Struthio camelus: one gene and its partner. The protein of the gene in region 1 purifies or fractionates together with the protein of each later gene. This does not show direct contact. Links are inferred from orthologs where the notes say so. Each region holds a gene or a part of one and is shown on either strand. Other genes may lie near its edges.

Region 1 (11,750 bases):
TATGAAAAAAAATAGTTATATAACTATCTATATATGTATGTGTGTATATATATGTTTTTTCCTCTCTCTATTATAGATCCTGAGCGCTGGACAAACATTCCTTTGTTAGTAAAAATCTTAAAATTAATAATAAATGAACTCTCTAATGCAATGGAAGCAAATGCATCTAGACAGACAACTGCAGACTGGAGTCAAGGTAAGACACGAGGGTTGGTTTTTACCTCTTTGCATGGCTTAAATCCACTTGCCCAGTTAGCAAAAGTATTTAATCTCTTCAGAAGCATTTAGAGCAGTAAAGAACTGACAGCTGTAAATATTATACCTATAATTATAAAGGCTTAAATGGTGATCCAACGGATAAGATCAGTCAGTGTTATCTGTTCTTATAACTGAATATTATTTTTGACCAGTCTATCTGGAAAACGGGATCTGGTCATATGCCTATAAAGGAAAATTATCTTTGCTCAGACTATCTGGTTCCCCTTCCTTCCTCCCTACTTTGGCCATACTTTCTTGCAGCTTCCTTTTGCCAGTTCTAGCTATTGTGAACCACTCATTCCAAAAGAATATTAACGGTTGTGTGCGTTTCTCTGGACCCACATAAACAAGCAGGGAGGCTTGCCTAAAAGCTGTAGAGTCCCTTACAGGGGTGATTGACGGGCTGACTTGTTGGATTTTGCTTATCTTCTAGAAATGTTTGTTTTCTAAACAGATGATTCGAATGATATGTGGGAGGATCAAGAAGAAGATGAGGATGAAGATGAAAGCTTAGCAGGACAGTTCTTATCAGATATTCTTTCCACAAACAAGTATGGTAAGTTACAGCTTTAAAGTGCTACTCAAAAATAGAATAGACTAGATGGCATTCTACTCTGAAAGTTACCTTTTCTTGACAGCAGCTCAACAGAGACTGCAGGCAAGGAAGGGAATATTACACTGGGATTTTGAATAAGGGTCTCTTTCTGGAAAAGAGGGACATGTCCTTGAATTACACTTATGATTGATTAACCGCTTTTTCCACATGGCGAGTTCAAAAACTATGTAGACCTTCATTTTTTTTTGAGGTTCATGCAAATATCTCTTTTAAAGAGAAAATTGCTCAAGGATGTAGATGCGACCTTGAAATGACAGTGCCAGAGCAGTGGATGAACTTGTTTGTAGGGTGATCTTGAGAAATAATTGCTGTAGAAAGAACAGGGAGTGAGTATAATACCTCCTTTCCTCAGCTCTCCAGGTTGCATATAATCTTAGAGAACCTCACAGGGTAATACAATAAAGGAGTACTTTAGCAGCAGTACAGAAATGCAAATGTGGCATGAGTGCACGTAACTAACGACAAACTCGTGCAGTATCTCTTGTGTGCTAGTCTCACCTGTGCATTCCTTGAAACTCCCACTGTGACCCTTCTTGTTTTGGGCGGGGGGGGAGGGGTTTAACCGTGTAAACATAAGGGAATATTTTAAATATATAAGGGAATATATTTTGGATACAGGACTTCTTACGCAAATGGTTTCAGCGCTCCTGGGGAGCCTTAGATCTTAGCAATAGTCTAATAGGATGCTTCCTGAAATATTTTGATCTGTTCAATGTTAAAACCTGCTGATTTATCTCTGACAGATGAAGATTACTATGAAGATGATGAAGAGGACGATCCAGATGCATTAAAGGACCCTCTTTACCAAATAGATCTCCAGGTGATGCTCTAGAATGATTCTTTTTTTATCTGATTTCTATCATTTTCTATAAATTTTATTTTTTATATTGTACTTGAACAAAACTGCGAAACACCGCTGACACCGGATAACGATTGTTGTCCTGAATGTACTCAGTTTATTGAAATTGCTTTGGGAAGTGCTGAGTATCCAAAGAACGCCCTGAGCCATTGTTTCTTATTGTAGCAATATCTATAATTTGGAAATGTGAATCAACGACCCTTTGTGGGCAGGGGTTGAGGCTCCTCGTAGCTCTTTGATGAGATCAAAAGCTGGTGGAGACTGAACGTTACAGAACTTGAATGTTCCACTTGGAGGTGCTCCTATCCAGTCACAGTTCCTGGGCAATACTTTGACCCTGCTTTTTAACACCACCTGGAAGCTGTTTACCAGCCTTTCCCCTCTGCTGCCTCCCGTCCTTCTGCATCCCTTCTCCACGTTCCCTGTATTGCCTTTGTTTTATTTGGTGTATGTTAGTTTTACCTTTTGATACACGAAAGAAACAGAATTTCCAAAGTGAAGCAATGCTAACTTGATCTTTTTGTCTTCTTTTTAGGCCTATCTCACTGACTTCCTGTGTCAGTTTGCACAGCAGCCGTGCTATGCAATGTTTTCAGACCATCTCAATGAGAATGAAAAGCGAGTGTTACAGGCCATTGGTATATAAACCCAATCAAGAGACCATACTGATCATATCTGAACAATATTTTTCTGGCTTATTCCACGTTTTATGATTAAACATGAAACATTTTCCAGTGTCCACCTGCTTGTTACAGGTGGATGATGGGCCTCATTGCGAAGTATTGAGCCTCATCTTATCATGAATCTGCTAAGGGAAGGAATACTAAGCAAGCAGCAAAGACGGAAGTCTGTAGAGCTTTGCACATTAATCTCACCAAGGGAGCACTTTCATTTTCCACAGTAATGTTCCAGGAAGTTCTTAAAAGAATGTGTCCTTAAATATTTTTAAAAGCAAACTGTCTCTGCCTGTCAAGAGGCACTTAAACTGAATTTCACACAGCACAGATGGACAGAGAAAGGAATCAGGTCACTTACAAATTGCTTGGATGTGTCTTGAAATTGGAAGGTTGTTCCTCTTTGTGCTCACATAACACATACAGGGTAAATATCTGGATCTTACAGTGTGACTTCTTTTTATAGAACTATAGACTCTTTTATCAGAGATGCCTGAATGGTATGGAACCTGTTTACAGGAGTTTGGATGGGAAGCTGAGACAATAAAAATAACTGCATATCTTCTTTCCTAGTGTGGATGGAGCTTTGTTGCTCACATCTACTCTCTAGTCCCATGGGAGCAGTTCTTTACTAATGCTTTTGTGTGCACATGCTTAAAGGAAGCTACCACTTAATTTCTGTTCCTGTGGCATGTGGCTACTAAAGACTTTGGTTTTATGGAACACAAGGAGCCACAATTTTTAGGGGGAAAATCTGATTATATTTAATGCATTTGCTCCATAACAGCCACTCTGATCTACTTTGCTTCCTTCACACTCCTGTGTGTATTTTTATAGAGTGGTAAAATAACATTTACAAATTGATTTACCCATAAGAACAGCGTGATGTATCTCACAACACCTCTCTGCCTTTGGTTCCCCCTTGGGGAAAATTAAAATAAAACTATTAAAATATACATTGGTATCCTTCTTATAAGACAGAGTTGAAAGGAAATTGCACTTGTTTCCCGAAATTGCTTTTTAAGACATATTTCTCCTTAGGAGATCTCCTATATGTGCCACCTGGAGGTTGTTAGGGTATTTCACAGGAGTCATCTGGACAGAAAGGGAGTCCTGTAATGGTTACATCATCTTCTGCTTAAAAGAAAGAGTGATCCATTATAGAGTTTCCTTTCTTAAGAAAGGTACTTGCTGTTCCTTTGTGGAATAAAATGCTTTGAAGTTGTATTTAAAAGCTTCCAAAGAGCTGGAATATGTATGCATCTTACTGGTCTAATTTACCGTATGGCTTTTCACTTTTCTTACCAGCAGGGGGTGATGAATTACTTTTTTTAAATGAACAAAGATGGCACAACACAATTTGTTTAGCATATGTGGGATAATGGTAAAATAACACTAAATTCTAAAGCTGACATTGCTTCCCCTCTCATGCCTAAAGCCCTCATGTTGTGCCTAAGAACAAGCAGAAATAGAGGGAATCCCACACGTCTTGCTACATGCCTGTAGATTGATCTGTCCCATCTTTGATTTCTCAGTAGTTTTCTATGAATAACTCCATGGCAAGTAGAATTTATGAAGCCTGATTTTATTTTTTGTGGCTTTGGATTAGTCTGTGTCTAATTCTAAAGGTATGAGCTCTGGAAAGTTTCCATGCAGTTGAGTCTCAATTTTTCTTCCCTGTCGGTTCTCTGGTGTATAAAACTAATTCAATTTTGTGCCATGGCCTTCCCTTCAGTGTGCGCTCTGCTGTGGCTCTGTCTCCTCTCTAGTCTCCCCCTCCCCGCCAAGTCTTCTAGGAATTTTGTTCGAGGTACGTGTGTCTCATAGCTTTCATTGAAATGGGCTGACAAGTTAAACTAAGCAGTGCAGTCTCATGAGGAAACTGAGAAATAGATGGCTGCAGTGCCTGATAGCTGTACAAAAGGATCAACTGAGTGACCAGTCCCAGCTGAGAGAAGAGACAGGACCATGTTTGCTAGCTGACATTCCTCCCCTGAATATCGGAATGGGCCTGTACTGCATGAAAACAGTTTGTAAGTCAATGGAACAGAAGAGTGAAGACCAAATCTAAATTTTCATTGCAAGTTACAAAATTAAGAAGGGCTATCAAATACTTTACCCCAGGAACTGACAGCAGAACTTGAAAATAGTCATTCATTGTTTGAGGTAAGTGGATACCTAACACTTGAAAGCACCTGGATGTGCTTTAGGCATCGGTAAGAAATGGACCACATACTTGTCTGGCTCGTTAGGGCTTTGTGGAGAGGGGCTGGTAGGGTTCATGTGCTTTCAGTTGGAAGTTGACTCGTGTGCCTTAACTGTACTTGCTTTATGCACCCTTAAGGTGCATCAAGTTGGATGACGAGTTTAAGCAAAAACATGAAAAATGGGTGCAGCTTAGCACCATTCCTCATCCTGAGTTGTATCTAAGGATTTCTTTGGATTTGCAGGGTCCCGTGAGTAAGTGATGGGCAGTTTCTTACAGAGTTCCTATCGGAGCTCTTCAGTGCATTGGTTAGAAGCTGCTCTTTGATTTGCAGGTATCAAGGGCTTGCTCTTTCCAGGAGTGCAACCAGTGAGATGGGAAGGAGTGGGGGGGGGAAATGGTGGCTCTTTGGGAACTAGTGCTCTGCACTGTCCTTCCTGTTGCATTTGGTTCATGTGCACCCACCTGGGCCCCTTCCAGCAGAATGAGCTGACCAAGTGCAGTGCCACTATGCAAGAGTGCTGATTTAAAATTCAGTTTGGGAGCAGCCTTTGAGATGATCCTGGGCCTGTCTGCGTGTTGTGGGTCAAGGGGAACAGGAACAGCCTAGTTTGTCTACAGCGGGTGCTCCACTGCAAGCAAACTCACAGCGTGCAGGACGCTTTCAGGCAAGAAATATACTGACTTGAGCTTCCCATAGGAGAGAGGCTGAATAAAGGATGAGAGCTACAGTGCATGATGGAGATGGTTGAAAGAGCCTTAAGTGGTCCCATGGGTGCCTGTACTGATGTTACTCCTTTGCCTTCTGCTTTCCCTGTGTTCTCTTCCTCCCTTTAAAAATTCTCAGAATGTGACACTATATATCTTTAAACAAGTGATGACTGGAGGGTCATCGGCTTTGCTGAAATAAATCTGAGCCAGTAGCGTGAGGTAATTGCTCAGGATGAAATACGGTGAAATGTCTGGAAAGCTGTCTAAGGTCTAGTGTTGAGATGTGGAATGCCCATTTTACTTGTGTACTGTGAAAAGAAACTAAACTAACCCTCACTAAAGGTTACTAACTCCATGTTATGAAAACCAAGCTCCCTTTTATACTTAGTTAAAAAGAAGGATGGGACTGAGGCTACTACTGGACATCCATGAGCCTTTGCCACTTCCGAAATCAGTGCCTGGCACTTTTGCATCCTTGTCAAAGCTCCTCGCGGAGGAGATGCCAATTGTGTTTTTGCACACTGGGTTTTATCTTGCTAGAATAGCATGAAGGTCCGATAGCCACAGAATATAATTTAAATAGTGACTCAATCAGCTGTGACTCTGGATGGAGACTTTACGCCTATTCATGAGTATTGTTCTTGGTATTTTTTTGTATTAATAAAATCTTTTAATGTATAAGCGTGCCTTGCCTCCGAGTCTTACAGAGATTGGTAACGAGGAGGGAGAGCACCCTCAGCTGCGCCAATCTGGCATCCCGGGCCGGGCCAGGCCTGACGCCCTGCTTCGAAGGGTGTTTTGCCTCTTTGGGGTTTGACTCTTGCAGCGCACAGAGCTGGTTAAGGTGTTTTAGGCCCTTGTTCTCCAAAGCTGGGCCAGCAGCTGGGCACTGTGACTGCGCCGCCTGTGCGTGCGGCCACCTCGCATGAATCCCGCCTGCGGCGTGGGGTTGCTATAGGGCACCAGAGCAGGCCTGGGTGGCCTTCTGGCCCCTGTGGAGCCCAGGCTGCTGGACTGAATGAGGAAAATGACTTTCGGGACCCCTTGAGAAGCTGGCAAGGTGCGTGCGGCTCCTTCCCTGCCGTGCCAGGAGCAGGCTGGAGCGCTGCGGGTCCACCCACCTGCCCACCCTTGGTCCTGCGGGCGTGGGACTTGAACCCGCCGCTACGTGCTGCCTAGGTGCGCCCCCCGCCCCGGAGCGGGGCACGCCGGGAGCTGTAGTCCCGCGGCGGAGGGAACGGCCGTGCCAGGCGCTGTAGCCGCGGGGCGGGCGGTAGAGCCAAGCCGGGCGCTGTAGTCGCGGGGCACGCCGGGAGCTGTAGTCCCGCGGCGGGAGGACGAGCCAAGCCGGGCGCTGTAGTCGCGGGGCACGCCGGGAGCTGTAGTCCCGCGGCGGGAGGACGAGCCAAGCCGGGCGCTGTAGTCGCGGGGCACGCCGGGAGCTGTAGTCCCGCGGCGGGAGGACGAGCCAAGCCGGGCGCTGTAGTCGCGGGGCACGCCGGGAGCTGTAGTCCCGCGGCGGGCGGGCTCGCCGGTTGGTGCGCGGCGGCGGGGCTGGCGCGGGCCATGGCGGCGGCCGGGGCGCCGTCGGGCGGCGCGGGGCGCTCCAAGGTGGCGCCGAGCGTGGACTTCGACCACAGCTGCTCGGACAGCGTCGAGTACCTCACCCTCAACTTCGGGCCCTTCGAGACGGTGCACCGGTGGCGCCGCCTCCCGCCCTGCGACGAGTTCGTGGGGGCCCGGTGAGCGGCGGCGGCGGCGGCGGCGGCGGGGGGTGGTGGTGGGTCCCGGCGGCTCCTGACCGCCGCTCTCTGCCGCCCGCAGGCGCAGCAAGCACACCGTGGTGGCCTACCGGGACGCCATCTACGTCTTCGGCGGCGACAACGGGTAAGGCCGCGGCGGGGCCGAGGGGAGCGGGGCCGCCGGGGCCGCCGCGCCGCCCCCCCCCCCCTCAGCCGCCTCTCCCGTCCCTCCCGCAGGAAGACGATGCTGAACGACCTGCTGCGCTTCGACGTGAAGGACTGCTCCTGGTGCAGGTGGGCCGCGCTGCGCCCCGGCCCTCTGCCGCCCCGCGCGGCTGCGAGACGCCTCGTCCCCCCGCGGCGCCGTTATGCTGGGTGTAACGGCTGGGGGCTCTGCACAGCCCCTCGCGGAGGGCGAGCCCCCCGGCCCCAGCATGCAGCTTTTATTTACCACTCTTAGTCTAGCACCAGATCTTAGGTCACGTAGTTAAACCAAAAAGAGTGAAAATGCCCCCTCGCGACCGGTAGAATAACTCTTAACGCCTGTTTCCGCGTTGAACCCGCACAGCAGCTTTGAATGCCCGAAGCGCGACAGTGTTGTTTGATTGCCACTGTTCTAACTGTTGCACAGGGCTTTTACCACGGGGACGCCGCCAGCACCGCGATACCACCATTCGGCTGTGGTCTATGGGAGCAGCATGTTTGTGTTTGGTAAGACAGCGGCAGGTTACAGCTGCGTGCCCTTGGGACGATAGATGTGTCTGTCCTCTCTTAAAACAGAGCAAGGTGTTTCCTACAGAGCGTCAAGAGGATCTCATTCAATAGGAAAGCTGGTGTTTTTCGTGGTTGACTGTGATTTGGACCTTAGCTTTGAAATAGCTTTACTCTTTTGTCTAAGGTAAAGAAAACTTGAAGCTCAGTGCCGTAGCATTTCTTTAGGGATAGAAGTAAGGTTGGAGGACAAGCCTCCCATGTTTAGCGTTCCAGCAGTCAAATAACTTTTGTTTGAGTGACGTAAACTTAAATTTCTTCTAATATATTGACTACAAGTATATATGCTCTCTTGAAATAGTCTAATAAAATTGTTATTGCCCAGGTGGCTATACTGGAGACATTTATTCCAATTCCAACTTGAAGAATAAAAACGATCTTTTTGAATATAAATTTGCAACTGGACAATGGACAGAGTGGAAGACTGAAGGCAGGTAAGGAGCTGGCATCATTGCCCCGCTCTTCAAGGGGACTTGGGTGTTACTCAGCAAGTACTTACAGTAGCACATAGTTACAAATAGTTACACTGTTAGTATTAAAGTGCTAGGACTGTGCACAGTCCTTTACATTGATTGTAAAGAATCAATAAGAACATTTAAAAATTCAGCACATTTAAAAGCTGTGCTTTTCCCCGCAGCTGCAGGTCTGCATACTGCATAAATGACCACTACCTTCTCAAACAAGCTAACGTTATGTCTCCTGGACTTGTGGCGTCACAGTTTTGTACAGCACTTCTTGATTGATTTGGTAAAAACAACACAAATTAGGGAGAAGAAATCATAGGATTGATTTTTTATTGTGGCACTGTATCTCATGAATGCTATGACTAAACGATCCCAAAAATATATTGTGAGCTCTGACCCTGATCTCATTTATGCATTCCACCTTCTTAGTAGGTGAAAATACACGTAGGATTATTTTATCGCATGTAAATTGCCACTTCGCCATAATGACAATGATATTGTCCTCTACAATTTAGCCAGCTTTCAAAAAATACTTAAGAACGTTTGAAGATTGGCAAGGAATTCATTGGATTTTTTTTGGTTTTTTGAGATAATTTTTTCTCATGAAGGAAGCAGAGTGTAAAGTTCTGCAGCCCTGGACAAGGGCTTCTTCTTGTGTGCTTTGACAGTGTATGACAGTAGCAATTTCCTAGCTTGAAGGCATTTAATATAGGGAGCTTTTATTCTTGTGAAATGTGTGTTTTAGCTATGATGCAGATCCTTATAGCACCTTTCCTGGTCAGTTAAGATTTTTTTTTTTAATTATTTTTAAATCTCCTCAATTGCAGATTGCCAGTTGCGAGGTCAGCTCATGGTGCAACAGTGTATAGCGACAAGCTGTGGATCTTTGCAGGATATGATGGCAATGCGCGGTAAGTAACGGCATCACTCTCTCCTTGGTCCCTTTTGTAACATCCCAGTCACTCACTTTTCACTTCCGTAGAGATGTTTTCCTATTCCAAGTGTTTTAAACACATAACTAGAGCTTTGCGAAGCCTAGCTTATTGATGAGCATTGTAGACCTTTGCAATTCACTGGCTCATGTTCACATAAGTATACATTAAAAAGCTGGTGACTCGGAATGTTTGAGGATGCATAAACTGATCACCTGCTTGATTGCGAGGATGCTAAGTGATCTTTGGATTTGGCAAGTGAGCATTTTCCAATATGCCACAGGCCTTCTGATGTTGCTACAAGCTTTGAGGAAAAAAGCAGGGTTTTTCTGTGAAGTCCTATGATGGAACTGAAAACAATATGCCAGCTTTTCCTCTGAAAACATGTGGCACTTCTGGTGGGATATTGCACTGAGATGACAGACTTGTTTGCTTCTAAGGCAGATGAGATTTTGGATAAGAAAAGACTGGAAGTGAGTGGTGCTGAGAAGTTAGGGAGAATTCTGGTGCTTTGTTCCAGATGGCAAGTTCTTCACTGTTGCTATCAGTCCCTTGGGGAAGAATCAGTTCTGCACAGGCATTTTTTTTTTTCTATCTTGGTGAAGATGAGAAGTTTCTTATGATCATGCACAGTATTTGCATCAGCAAAGCATACAGAAATCAGCATGAACTAGGAGGTGCGTCAACTTACTGGGCTGCCTTTTCTTCCGATGAGAATCTGGAAAAAAGATACCAGCTCCTCACAGTCTCCAGGAGAGCTGCAGTTAAATGGAAATTTTTGTGGACATTTTGCAATGCATATGGAAAAAGCATATGGGATCTTTTCTTTATTTCTAGAAGAGGAATTTGAGAAAGATGAATGAGTCTGTGGAGTTGCTTAGTTCCAGCTTAAGGAATTCCCCAAGGACCTTGGATAGCTGAAAGGTGGGATTGGGTGAGAGGAGCTATCTATTTTACCAAGATCGTGTTAAAAATATGTTTTTGTGGAAGAGGCACCTCCAGGCAGATTTCAACTAAAGAAATGTTTGTGATCGTCTGCGAGTAACTTGTACTGGAAACAGCAGAGTCCTATGCAGTAGTCAGTGAAGTGTCAGGTTACCCTTTTCATCCTTTTATGTATTTGAGGCAGGATTCAGCCACATAACTAATTACTGTGGTCGGTATCAGGGCTTAGGTGTAGGTGTAAGTGAAAGAGTAGGTGAAAGAAAGCAGGATAATAAGGGGAATTTCTGTAAAAATCTCCAAGATTAAATTTTCAAATCCTTAAGCTCCAGGCAGAGTTGCAGTTTATAGTTGTCAACTGTAGCACACAACCAACCAGAAGGATGCTGAAGGAGGCTTATAGGAGATGATAGATGGTGGTATAAGCTTTAGGTGTAGGACAAAAATATTCCAATAGGTTTCTCTGCTAGGAGAAATAGCAGATTTTTCCTGTGCAGGAGGAGGAATGCTGATGAAATATGTGTTTTGTCCTTTCAACTCCATAAGCTAAAAATAACCACCAATAAACGGTTTCAAATCAGGTATTTTTTGTTATAATTTAGGTTAAATGATATGTGGACGATTGGCCTACAGGACAGAGAGCTGACGTGTTGGGAAGAGGTAAGAAGCTTAAAGGTGAAATAACACAGAATTTCCTTTTTTAATTTTCATATACGTTCATTTAAAATTTACTATGTTAGATCATATTTCTCTCCATTATATATGTCACACGCATGAAAAGAAACAGTGTTCAAATTTGTTTTTTGTTTGTCCAGAGAATGAGGTGTGTATGAAAGTATGATTTTGCTTCTGAATATGTGAGCAGGACCTAGTCTGCCAATAGTGGACTTTTTTTTATGCCACTTATGAAAAAAGGACTGCATTTCCCACTTCAGTCACTGCCGTAGACTGGAAACTTTGCTCACTAGCTATCAAGATCAGAGTCGTGATCCTTACAGCGTCAGGAGCTTTAAAAGTACACCCTTCTAGCCTTTCTTTTTCTTTGGTAAAATTAGTTTGTGCAGATGTGCAGGCGCAGCATTAGTTAATTAACTTTAGACAAATTTATGGGGTCTTGATTGTCTGGAAGGATTGCTACTATGTGGTCTGTCTTTATCTGCTGTATTACATGGGTTACAGCATACTTCAACATGCGTAGCTTTGCACTACAAAAATACTTGGTTTGTTTTGACACTTTGGGTGTCATCTTCTGCTAGTAGAGAGAAAATCTAGCATTTCACACTCCAAAGAGAAAACCGATTTATTTTTTTTGAACTTTGTTATCTTTCAGATTGAGCAAAGTGGTGAGATCCCTCCTTCATGCTGTAATTTTCCTGTAGCTGTTTGCAAAGACAAGATGTTTGTTTTTTCTGGCCAGAGTGGAGCAAAGATTACCAATAATCTCTTTCAGTTTGAATTCAAGGAAAAAATGTAAGTGTAGACAATTAAGTCAAACAATATCCTCATAATCCTTGACTACTTGAACTGAGAAATGCAAGTACTTAAAAGTATTGAGGAAGAATACTAAATCTCATG
Region 2 (12,065 bases), on another chromosome or scaffold:
TTCTGTGCATGTTTCTTGCAGCATTTAGACTATTTTGAATTTTAATTTAGAAGGTAAATATTCTTCACTTGCTTTTACGTCATGCTAAAAGCTGCAGAGCCACTAGAGTACTGTTGAGGTGACTGATTGCCCATTAAAGGGATAAGATCTGACAAGGAGTTGCTGTTGAAAGAAGTAGCTCTGAAATTTTGTGAAAACGCTTATGCTTATGAGGGATTTTTGTGTTTTCAGTCACCCAAAGCCAGAAGGTCTGGCAGCTGCTAAAAAGTTGTGTGAGAATCTCTTGCAAACTGTGAGTAGCTCTTCCATATTGGACTTGTACAAATATGAGACTTCAGAGTCTGTCATAGCTTTAGTATGTCCCAGGGGAATGGGAATTTTTTTTTATGCTCACAGCAGAACTTTCCATGTGCTGTGAATTGCCAATACGTTTTTCCTCTTAAATGTGGCTGTCTGATTTTTTTTTTTTGTATGTAGAATAAGCGCTTCTCAGAAGCTGTGGTAGTGGAATTTTGAAAAAATGCAAACACTTCCTGAGCAGAGCGGGGGGAAAAAGGAAAGGTCTGACTATACCAGAACATGAAGTAATCCTGCTTTTTCCTGATGGCTATAGATTCCCTTGTGCCTCTTTATTTGCTTTAACTTTAAACGTTGTCCAGTGCCACAATCTCTTTATTTTTCCTGAAGAGGTTGCTTTACTTGACACAGAATTTTTATAAAATCTCTTGCACAGATGAAGATTTCATTTCTTAAATTTTCTTCTGCGAATGGGCTACCACAACAGACTACCTCACAGGTTTTTATTCTGTTTTAGCATTGGCACAGGCTACGATATCTCTTTGGAAAATATCTCAAAGCTCTTAGATGCTCTGTGTTTTTGAATATTTTGTTTTTACTCAAGTAATTCCTCTACCGTTCTGCTCTTTCCTATGGAAAAAAATGTCCTCTGCGCATAGTTAAGCATCCTGCTGTATTGATTGTATTTTACACAAACTTGTCACAGAGAACAGCAGGACTGGTGGCTGTGTTCTGAGTTTTCTTTCATTTGCTTGTTTAGTTTGTTACTGTGTCCTTGAGTGTAGTATGTTCCATAGTCAAAGCCCTCTTTTAGGGCAAGTTTTATGGGGATATATGGTGCCCTTTGTCTGCAAAAGGTTAATGTAGTAAATAGATGCTTATTTTCTCATTTTTGAACATCCTTTGTAGGTTCATGCTGAATACTCTCGATTTGTGAATCAGATAACCACTGCAGTACCTTTAGCAGGTAAACGCTAGCAATAACCAAGTCTTTAGAGTTGTGTTGTCTGTGGCACTGTACTTAGAGTTAGGTTTTGTAGAGTTCTTGACATGTAGAAGTCTTTCTGTTTATGCCTTTAATTGAAAAGCAGCACAATTGCTTTTACATTTGGTAATAAATTTAACGTTTTTGTGAATTTAACTGAACTGAAAGTAACCCCCTCCCTTTCCCCCCCTCCCCCACCCACCAGGCTTTGCACAACCTGCTGCTATAAACAGTGTACCTTCTCAGCCATCGTATTATCCTTCAAATGGTTATCAGTCTGGTTATCCTGTCGTTCCCCCTCCTCAACAACCGGTTCAGCCACCGTATGGTGTACCAGGCATAGTACCACCTGCAGTACCATTGGCACCGGGAGTCTTAACAACATTGCCTACAGGAGTTCCACCTGTGCCAACACAATATCCAATATCTCAAGTACAGCCTCCAGCCAGCACTGGCCAGGTAGTGCCACAGATAAATTACTTGGGTGTATAGTTGTCAGCTTACTAAGCTGTTTCTTTACTAACAATGAAATACTTAAAGCAGTTATAGGTCAAGAAATTCTTCTTTTGGGCATGCATAAACAATTTCTCTGGTTATGGCTTTGCTCATGCTCTTATTATCTAAGGAACTAAATTGCTGCTATGGCTGCTGCTTATTGCATTTTTTTGAGCTACCTATTAACATAAAGGATGTTTGGGGTGAAATCACTCATTTATGAAAAGTGTTATTGCTGACTGTGATACCGTTATGTAGGTAAAATGAGCTTGAATTACATATAGTGACTGCTTTAAGGTGGAAGCATTCTATAAACTAAATGTGTATTCTGATGCTATATATGAATCTGCACATTGAATTTATACTTTGTTTTTTCTTTCTTTTTCTTTTTTTAACTTCTGCATACCAGAGTCCACTGAGTGGTCCTTTTCTTCCTGCTGCCCCAGTAAAAACAACCTTGCCTGCTGGTACACAGCCACAAGTCCAGCCCCACTCCCAAGGTCAAAAGAGACGCTTCACTGAGGAGCTACCAGATGAAAGAGAATCAGGACTGCTGGGATATCAGGTGGAATAAAATCAGCAATTTTACTTCCAACGCCAAAACCAAACTTTGCTAGAGAGGGGTCGTCAGTGTTTGTTTTTTTTTTTTTTTTTTTTTTTTTTAAAAACAGAGGTGCAAGACTTTTGGCAGATGGTAGTAATTGTTAAGAAATCTGGAGATACCACACTTCAGTTTCTTTGAGCAGATGCACTGTTTTTAAACAGTCCCTTATTTGATTCATTGGTAGCTTGCTTTCTTTACCTGCATTCTTTCATGAAGATAAGCAGTCCCTTCAGGCCAAAGAGATGACAATAGGGTGTCAATGGTTAGTTTAGGGGGAGGTTATTTGGGGGTTTTGTTTGTTTGTGGGCCTTGTCAGTGGGCTTGTTGGGGAGGGGGAAGTGAATGTAGTGGTTACCTCTAGATTTTCCAGCTACCTTTCCCTGCAGGGTGCACTTGAGAGGATTACAAGAAGCCTAATTTTAATGGGCTGGGCTTTTTAGATAGCCAAAGTGTGTGTGTGGTGTGTATGGTGGGTTTTTTTTTTTTTAATACAGCTGTAGGCTTTTTTGTTTATTTTCTTTAATAAAGTAACTTTGAGTTTTTCTTCAGACTTGTATATTAGTAAAAGGGAGTTCCTTTCCCTCTTCCTGCAGGCTCCCCTTCCCTGCCATGCTCTCCACCTCATCGTTCTAAACTGTCGTTGTGGAATTTTACCTAACTGGCCTTAGGCAGAAACCCTTAGTAAAAGATTTGCCTAGAGAAAATAAGTAACTGCCTATATATAAGATGTAATATTAGTGTCTCAGCAGAGTTTATTGTGGCGTAAGGTCTAAATACCATAGAGAATTAGCTGATTGAGGAGGTAGCTGCTTAGTTCGTAAATTTGACTTGCTCTCTGTCCTGAACTACTGGGAAGATGGACTAGTCAATGAGGTCTCTTCCATCTTAGCTGGAAACATGCCTGAGCACCAGATTAGCTTTTTCAGTATTAGTAGGACAAAGCATTTTGTTTAAAACTGGCAATTAGTAGCTTCTTCCATATCTTTAATAGCCAGCTTACGTTTTTTTGGTGGCTGCTAAGTAGTCAGGAACTACTTAACTTGTTCTATAGTTGGCAATATACTCTGAAAAGTTGGGTTTCCTATCATTATCGTTAAGGAGCTATAGCTTATGTTATAGTTGTAGATTTGCTAATGCCGTGTGTTTTTCTGCTCATAGCATGGACCCATTCATATGACTAATTTAGGTACAGGCTTCTCCAGTCAGAGTGAAATCGATGGAGCAGGATCGAAGCCAGCAAGTTCCTCAGGAAAGGAGAGAGAGAGGGACAGGTAAGTGATGAAAGGATTATGATCGGATCTTTGATTCTGAAGAAAAGCTTTTCTTAAAATATAAGAGGTAGGGTGAAATATGAAAGTTGTATTATTACTCATGTGGGGAGTTTTCAAAGCTGACCTGTGGTTTTTACAGCCCCTAAGGGATGAGAGAACTGGCAATAACAAGGAGATTCAGCTACAGAGCCAGTGATAGATGTCCCAAATTCATCTAAGAGACTGTTTCTTAAGGATCATCATGTAACTTGATTACTCTGTCAAGAGTTTTAGCTCAAACTGTACCTTATCCCATATTTCACGTTTTTGTCTATGCACATTAAGTTTGAGATTTTGAGATGCTGTGTATAAAAGGGAACCACACATTCTATTTGCTGCAACCTTTATCCGTTTTTAATCTGTCATCCTGATTTTTTTTTTTTTTCTTTTTTAAACCAAATGCAATGAGAGCAACTAAAAGTTAAACCACTCCACTCAGGGACTGATTTCTGTTTGCACTGTAAAGCAATGCAGACTGCCTAAAAATAAAACGACCTTTGACTCTATGCTTGTTTTAGAAATAATAAGTACTTGCACTGGTTTAAACAGGCAGTTGATGCCTCCACCAGCTTTTCCTGTCACTGGGATGAAATCGGAATCTGAAGAAAGAAATGGCGCGGGGTCTTTACCAGGCAACCATGGTGAGTGTAGTGAATAAAACAGATTTATGTGGAAAAGCGAACTTGACAAGTTTGCTCTGATCTTTACATAGATTTAAACAAATTGGTGGGTTTTTTTCTTTACAGTGTGTTTTTAAGTGAAAGAGAGGTCATATTCCACTGCTCAAAAAATCATATGTGTTCACTTTGACTATACACACATGGTGCTTCTCTTAAAACTTTATATACTTTAAAAAGTATTGTTATGGAAGATGTGAGGAGGTGATTAAGTGGAGGAGAAAAGACTGGGATTCTTGTCCTCTCAGTCCACTGAGGCACAATCTCATGGGGTTGTTTTGTAACACAGATATCACGTGGCTTTACATTGTGAAGGCTGTCTCTAGAGGCACTAAGGAACATCTGTGGGAGTTACGGTTCAGGTGTGCATTTATAGACATGAGTTATGTCCACCTTGCCTGCAAACAACAGAAGTGTTGTTAGAGTTCATCCTTTCATAGGGCTTTCATACATCAATTATTTGTAACTTGAGGGAAACACGTGATCACTACATCTCCTAGTAGTTGAATAGCGCCTTCACATTAGGTCTGCAGGCCCGTCACGTTAGTCTGTTTTAACCTTAGTTTTTCTGCAGTATTGGTCCCAGAGATTGCTCTTCTGTTAAATTTCTTTTGAACAAAATTTCTACTTTTCTTACATAGTTATCTCTTTAACGGTGAAATTGCTACCGCTTAGACCCATTTGCTAACTTTACCTTTTTTGTGTGTTTCTTTCTTCTTTCTCTGTTCTCTTACATGGTTCTGATGGATCACATGTGCTGTTGCTGGTGCTGTTTCGTGTGGCCTTCGACCTTGGGTGACCATTGGCCTTGTGACCTCAAAATGGTGTCCAACTAACAATTTACAATTAACTTTTTTTTTAATTAACTTGTTTGGGGGAATTTTATCTCTCTTTTTCTTTCTTTTTTTTCTTTTTGTTTTTTTTTTTTCTTGGGGTTTGGTTGTTTTGTTTTCCCCTCCTAGATCATCAAGCTAAGAAGATGAAAACTGCAGAAAAGGGGTTTGGATTGGTGGCATATGCTGGAGATTCATCAGATGAAGAGGAGGAACATGGTGGCCATAAAAATGCAAGTACTTTTTCACAGGGATGGAGTTTGGGATACCAGTACCCTTCTTCACAACAGCGAGCTAAACAACAGATGCCATTTTGGATGGCACCATAAAGGCTACAGAACAATTTTCATATGTCTTTTTTTTTCCCTCTAGCAATAATGCATGTATATTAAACAATGAACTTTGCAAATACGCATTGTTTTTACATTTGCAGAAGCTAAAGCTTCAGTATTCCCTCTTGAAAGGGCTCCATTATTTTTTAAATCCTTGTTCCTGCGGTGGATTTGTCAATGATGAGAAATACTTGAAATACTATTTTGGCATGGGAAGTCCCTTATAAAATGGGGGAAGTACTATAAGGAGAAGCTAGGGAAGCCTGTCTCTCCCTGTGCTCCCCATCTTTCCAGGATAACTTAAACGGAAAGAGCCAGCAATGCTGACTTCATTATACATCTGGTGTTCGTATCTTATCCAGTGTTCCTGCTGTCAGCTTGTTTGCAGTCCCATTGAGCTAATGCTGACCACGGATTCAATGTTTGGACTTTCAACAAAGAAAGGAACATTCAGTAGTTTTGAAAAATTTGGGGATCACGCTTCCTAAAATTCCTAATTTGTTTTTACTTTAAGCATCTCCTGTAATTCAGCATTTCTTTTTTTAAACGTGTTTTCTACTAACTCCATAACTCTTGGTTCTAGCTAAATGTCATCGGGGGGGGGAAAAAAAACGCTCAGTTTTTTTAATCAGTTCATCTTGCCGCTACTCCCTAGGTGGACTTGGTACTTTATCCATGGTACTTAATCTTTTCAAATTATCCCTGTACATTTCATTCCATTCAGCAGTTCAAATGGAAGTACTTCTCATGAGGTTCTCCCAAGATTCTCTCACTCTTAATTCATTCACTTATTTGATTCTACCAGTTTTGTTTCATGGTGGTTTAACAAAGAAATGCAGCAACCTGGTGTATACATTGCCAGAGACCCGAGTGCAAGCGTTGTTATTGCATTGGAGCACAGAAGTGGAACCTCTGAATTAAGCTGTTGGATTGCTTATGGACACGCGCTGCATCACGGCCTTTCCTGCCAGGGCAGGCTGTTGGCTGTTGCAGAACTTTTTTTTCTTTCTTTTTTCCTTTTTTTTTTTTTGTTTTTGAGAACAATGATGTGTGCATCCACTGGAGCGTGGGACTGTGAAGAGGTGCTGGTCAACTTTTAAGACAGGAGTAATAGTTTGAGAAACGGGAAGGTGTGTCCTTTATGCACACTGGAGGACCTTGCTGGCTCACCTGTATAAACATACGCTCTTTCCTACGTGTTGTAAATAATTAGAACCATACTTTCATTATAAATAAATGTATAAATATTCTGCTTCTTGCTGCTTCCCCCCCCCCCTTGACGTTTAAGTTTAATGGGAACAGACCCCTATGGCCTGCTGTTTGCCTTAATGTTTTAAAAAGATAATTAGTAGTAGTACGTGCCCGCGGGGAGGGGGAAGAAAGCCTCCGGGCGGGGCGGGGCGGGGCGGGGCCAGGGGCGGGAGGCTCCGCCCTCTCCCGCTGGCGGGGGCGGGGCTAACCCGGAGGGGTGTGGCCGGTGGGGGGCGGGGCGCCGGGCGCTCGCTCGCGGTGAAGCAGGAGCCGCCGCCATTTTGGTTTCGCTGCCTCGGCTCCGAGCAGGGCCGAAGCGGCGGCGGCGGCGGGTCGGTCCGGCTCCCGCCCTGGCCCCGTCCGTCCGCGCGGGCGGCCGGGAGGATGCGGCGCGGAGGAGTCTGACGTCCCGGCTGTGGTGGTGAGGCGGGCGGGTGGCGCGCGGCGGGGCGGAGCCGAGCGGGGCGGGGGTGGGTGGGTGTGTGTGTGTGGGGGGGGGGGCTGTTGCTCACGCTCTTCTCTTACCTCAAGCGGCGGCTGGTTCCCTCGGCGCTGAGGAGATGGACGCTGGAGCCCGCCCGGGCGTCGGCGCTCCCGGGCAGTCCCGCGAGTACAAGCTGGTGATGCTGGGCGCCGGCGGCGTCGGCAAGAGCGGTGCGTGCGGGCCCCCCCCGGGTGGGGCGGGACGGGGCGATCCGGCGCCTGAGGGGGAGGCGCGAGCGGCGGCCGTTAGACCCGGCTGGGCGGGACGGTCCTGCTGCCGCTCCCGCCGGTGCCGCCGCTTGTGCCTCAGCTGCGTCCAGCAGGCAGCCCGGGGGCAGGAGCGCTGAGGAGAAGCAGCGTTCGTCAGCAGAGCAGCTCGGGTTGCCGCGCTGTTCCGGTGCCCCGGGGGTGGCTCCAGCGTGCGGTTGTGTCATCATCTTCCGCGTTTCCAGCTTTGTTTCTGGAAACTTGCGGCGCTGTGGTCGAGGGCATGGTTCTCGGTTGTTTCTGAGCGGCGCTTCATCTGTTACGTTTCTTTCCAGTCTCGGGCTCAGTCTGTTTTTTTTCTCTGTCAGCTTTATGTTTTAGCTGTTAGTGAAATAACGTGCCTAAATGTGTTGTGAACTGAACGATGAGGTGGTGGATGTTTGCCAAGACTGTAAGAGTCTCCAATTTTTGTTTCCAGCCATGACCATGCAGTTTATCAGTCACCGATTTCCAGAGGACCATGATCCCACAATTGGTGAGAAAAATCTCTCTTTTCCCTTTCCTGTTCCCTCCCTCTCCAGATTAAGCTACTGTGGAAGCTATTGCTTTAAAGTGCTTAATTTAAAGAAGGTCATAAATTTGACTCTAAATTGAGGGCTCAAAATCCCTTAGACTACTAATTTAAGGAGTTAGTAGTTCTGAGACTGCCGTCAGGACTGAGAAGCATATCCTGAGTTTTCGATCATTAGTGTTTTCCCTATTGAGTATACCGTTAAAGTTTATTATATTCAGGCTATGTATTACCTGCGTTTGTGTGTTGGTGGACAAGGATAAAAAAAAAAAACTGCTGATGGGTAATTGTTGGCAGTCTATTCAAGAAATCAAGTCTCCATAACGTAGGTCAGTTCTCTGCTATTCCCCGCGTTTGTCAGGCCAAAGTGTGCTCTGCGTTTGAGAAACTTCCAGTTAACTTGGAAGGGATGAAAACGCTCAGCTGCTTACTGTATTGCTGCATATCTTCTGTGACTGGTTTCTTCAGCATCTCTAAAAGAAACCTTAGCCAACAATTACTCTTTCAAAGGAAAAGCAGGAAAAATAGCTAAATTCTTGTTGAAAGCAGACTGTTTCAGTGTGAGAATACTGGTTTAGAGGAACAGAAAATTGTGTCACTTCTAAGAAAGTGGCAGTTGGTGGTGGTGGCCATTATAATTCTTTTATTGAGTCAGTGGGTATTTTCTGGCTTTGAGAAAAATGCAATGCTCCTACCTTGTGCTTTCCACAAAGGTGTGCAAGATTGAACTTAAAGGATGTTTTCACTTGCCTATCAGAAGTAGCAGGTGCAATAATTTTAGCACGCAGCTGGATGGGATACTAAATAATACTTGAGCAGTTATATTTTGTTTTGTTGTACGTGTAGAGCGGGCTAATTTAGTGTAGTAATATTACCTGACGAAGTCCTTTTTGTGTAACACTTTTCCTGTATTCATGACTAATGAGGACTGCAATTGTATTCCAACTTTGTTCTTCCTAATGTATTGTGAATTCAAAGAGGACGCTTATAAAATACGAATACGCATTGATGATGAACCTGCAAATCTGGATATCTTGGACACAGCAGGACAGGTATGTGACTAATAAGAAGTGAATTGGGAGGGTTTTAGAAGTCTGTAGTGGCCATACATAGAGACCCTGTAACAGTATGCTTGTGATGCAGTATGATTGATTTTATGAGCTTTCTTTTTTTCTTGCATGTATCCCATTGTTTATAGCGTCTGCATCATACTGTCTGTATCTAGGTAGTCCAAATGGTATCCTTGTTTCATATCTTGCTTTCTTCATTGTATCTTTGCCATTCATGCTCTACAAACCATATATGTTGCCTGATAAATGACATTTTTAAGTGATTCCTGTAGCAAGGGAAACTGAGCATTAATCCCAAATGTGCATAATATCTTGTCTCATATGTAGCAGGACAAGAAGATAGATAACCAGCTTATTTGCAAAGTTTCTGTCCAGCTATTTTGGAATGCTTTGGAATGTTTCCTCTGATGTGAGCGAATTAGAAGTCATTGTATTTGTGCAACTGAAACGTAATCGTCTGTTTCTAGGCAGAGTTTACAGCCATGAGAGACCAGTACATGAGGGCTGGTGAGGGATTTATCATCTGTTACTCGATCACCGACCGACGCAGTTTCCATGAAGTACGTGAGTTCAAACAGCTTATTTATCGTGTTCGGCGTACTGATGACACTCCTGTGGTCCTGGTGGGAAATAAATCTGATCTGACACAGCTGCGGCAGGTAAATGGCACAAAAATACAGTAATAAAAGAGGTGATGTTCCCTTTCTTAAATTGTGTATGCTTGCTATGTAGTAAACTTAATTTAGTAAAAGTACTTGTTGAATCTGGGACATGTTGAATGAGCAAATACATGTAGTAATTGCAAAAGTAAGGTCCTCTACTTGATACCTTAGTTTTCCATTGCTATTAGTTTTTTGTTTGTTTGTTTAATAATTCCTGAAAGGCAATAGTGTCTATTAATAAAGATTTAGCATCCCATAAGCCACTTGCAAATAGTAGTACAAATGAAATAGATGCAAGTATGCTAAGAATAGAGGGGGGTAATAATGAGGAACTCCAATAAGAAGGGGCAGAAAGGAAAATGAGATTCAGCTTAAGGAAACAGTAAATACTGTCTGTGGAGAAAACACAGTCTGAAGCAGAGCTTCACTGGAAGGAAAAGTAATCTGGAAAACAAGTTCTAGAGGTAGTGTTTGTATACCTGGAATTAAGTGAGTTTTCAGCGTGCATAGCAGCAGGAAAATTACAGTAGTTACAGTAGAACACCCGCGCTAAGAGGTTTAGTGTGTAGAATGGGTAGTCAGTGCTTTTGCATGACTTACGTAAAACTCTTTCCTTGGAAAGCATTTGCTCAGTTCTGGGAAGAAGTATTTGACAAAAGCATTGGGTGCTGGCCAGCAGAAGGAAACCCTGAATTGAACTGACTGACAACTGCTTGTGTTAGGGCTGAGGGCTGCTCAAATTAAGCAACCTCTAGATTAAGCTCCAAGGAAGTGATGTTCTTTGAACGGATGTTGTTGTTTCATAAATGACCAGAGCTGCCCTGTTCAGAGAATCTCTCATAGTTGATTGCGTTTCTAGAGAAGTGGTGAGTGAAGGAACAAGAAAAATGGATTTGTAGAGAAAGATTTAGAGATCAGTGGAACCGAGCTGTTCTGGGACTGGGAGGCTGCACGCACAATTATGAAGTAAGCAGGACAAGAAAAGGTAAAGAAATAGACTTTGGGTTTTTTGGCTTTGTTAACAAATATGAACTTTTTTTTTTAAGGTCTCCAAAGAAGAAGGCTCTGCTTTAGCACGAGAATTCAACTGCCCTTTTTTTGAAACTTCAGCTGCATACCGTTACTATATTGATGATGTATTTCATGCTCTTGTGCGAGAAATCCGTAGGAAAGAAAAAGAAGCAGTAATGGCAATGGAAAAAAAATCCAAACCTAAAAGCAGCGTGTGGAAAAGACTAAAGTCACCATTTAGAAGGAAGAAGGATTCAGTCACTTGAACAGAGAAAATTCTGCAAAATGAAACAAAATCTGTGAACAGCCATTTGTAACCAAAGCGGCTTAGGGACAACATTTTGACAGGATGTTTTAAATCTGCTGGGACTTTTATCAGGGAGGGCATAATATTTACCGATTACTTCTGTTTAAAATGATATTCCCTTAATTTTGGATCTTTTAACTCATGACACAGCAATGATTTTACTTTTATTTGTTGTTGTTTTTGACTGGATCCAACAAACGTTACTCACATGTTGTTGGTTACAAATGCTGATAGGTTTGTGTCCCTGCACTTTTGGACGTTCATCTTTGGTCACTGCATACTGGAAGCTGAATTGTTTAAAATAGTGTTAAACTCCTTCCCAGCCTAACTTAATTCATTTTTTTTTCTCCTAGTTGTTTGCACAACAAAATTTTGCTGCTTTTTGGAACGGTAACCCACATCACGAGAGACGGCTTGTCGAGGTCATGCTGAAAAGTAGCTTACAAAGCACGTGTCGCGACTAACAGCCTAGGTTATATATAGATGTCAGTGTAGGATTCTTGTGTTCTCATTGAATAGACTTTTTCCAGCAAAAGTAAGTAATGTGGAATACGCAAGCTTAATACACAAGTAACGTGGAATACACAAGTTTATCTTAATTTTTCACCGTTAAAGCAGTTGGGATTCTAAACAAGTCAGAAAAAATAAGTTATGGTTCCTATGGCAGCTGTAGCTTGGCAACAACGCATGAATATGTAGCGTTTTCCTACTGTATATAGCGTTTATTGTGTTGCCATAGCGTGCGTGATATAATGATGCTGTAGTTGCGCTAGAAATTACAGCTTTGAGTTTTCTGACTTGTGTGTTAAAATCATAGCTGTAATGGTGTGGTGGCTTATTTATTTACATTGAATTTAACATTATTTTCTTAAAGGAGCCAGTATCCTTGTTAGGTAGAAATCTCTAATACAGTCATTTCAAATTACTCTAACAACTGCTTTGTAAAGATGATGACTGAAACCGAGTATTG

What was found.
Region 2: the proteins of LZTR1 (region 1) and RIT1 purify together in Homo sapiens (affinity purification with mass spectrometry; 3 studies listed by BioGRID and IntAct, counting the BioPlex papers as one, with this or other methods). This does not show direct contact. The link is inferred for Struthio camelus from reciprocal best matches to the Homo sapiens genes LZTR1 and RIT1.

Annotation. Positions count from the first base shown.
Region 1 is NC_090965.1:3,045,504-3,057,253, forward strand, and holds the start of LZTR1 (leucine-zipper-like transcriptional regulator 1), read left to right. Parts: upstream 1-6,852; 5' UTR 6,853-6,890; coding exon 6,891-7,066; intron 7,067-7,148; coding exon 7,149-7,211; intron 7,212-7,303; coding exon 7,304-7,360; intron 7,361-7,697; coding exon 7,698-7,777; intron 7,778-8,162; coding exon 8,163-8,271; intron 8,272-9,128; coding exon 9,129-9,212; intron 9,213-10,777; coding exon 10,778-10,835; intron 10,836-11,505; coding exon 11,506-11,645; intron 11,646-11,750. Other genes in the region: IPO9 (importin-9), read left to right, coding at 77-196, 713-814, 1,618-1,694, 2,269-2,379. UniProt on the Homo sapiens protein: Substrate-specific adapter of a BCR (BTB-CUL3-RBX1) E3 ubiquitin-protein ligase complex that mediates ubiquitination of Ras (K-Ras/KRAS, N-Ras/NRAS and H-Ras/HRAS).
Region 2 is NC_090971.1:3,975,117-3,987,181, forward strand, and holds the start of RIT1 (GTP-binding protein Rit1), read left to right. Parts: upstream 1-7,315; 5' UTR 7,316-7,344; coding exon 7,345-7,438; intron 7,439-7,842; exon of another isoform or gene 7,843-7,879; coding exon of another isoform or gene 7,880-7,952; coding exon 7,953-8,009; intron 8,010-8,971; coding exon of another isoform or gene 8,972-9,023; coding exon 9,024-9,097; intron 9,098-9,582; coding exon 9,583-9,774; intron 9,775-10,823; coding exon 10,824-11,054; 3' UTR 11,055-12,065. Other genes in the region: KHDC4 (KH homology domain-containing protein 4), read left to right, coding at 232-292, 1,207-1,264, 1,488-1,741, 2,187-2,342, 3,540-3,652, 4,241-4,332, 5,331-5,530.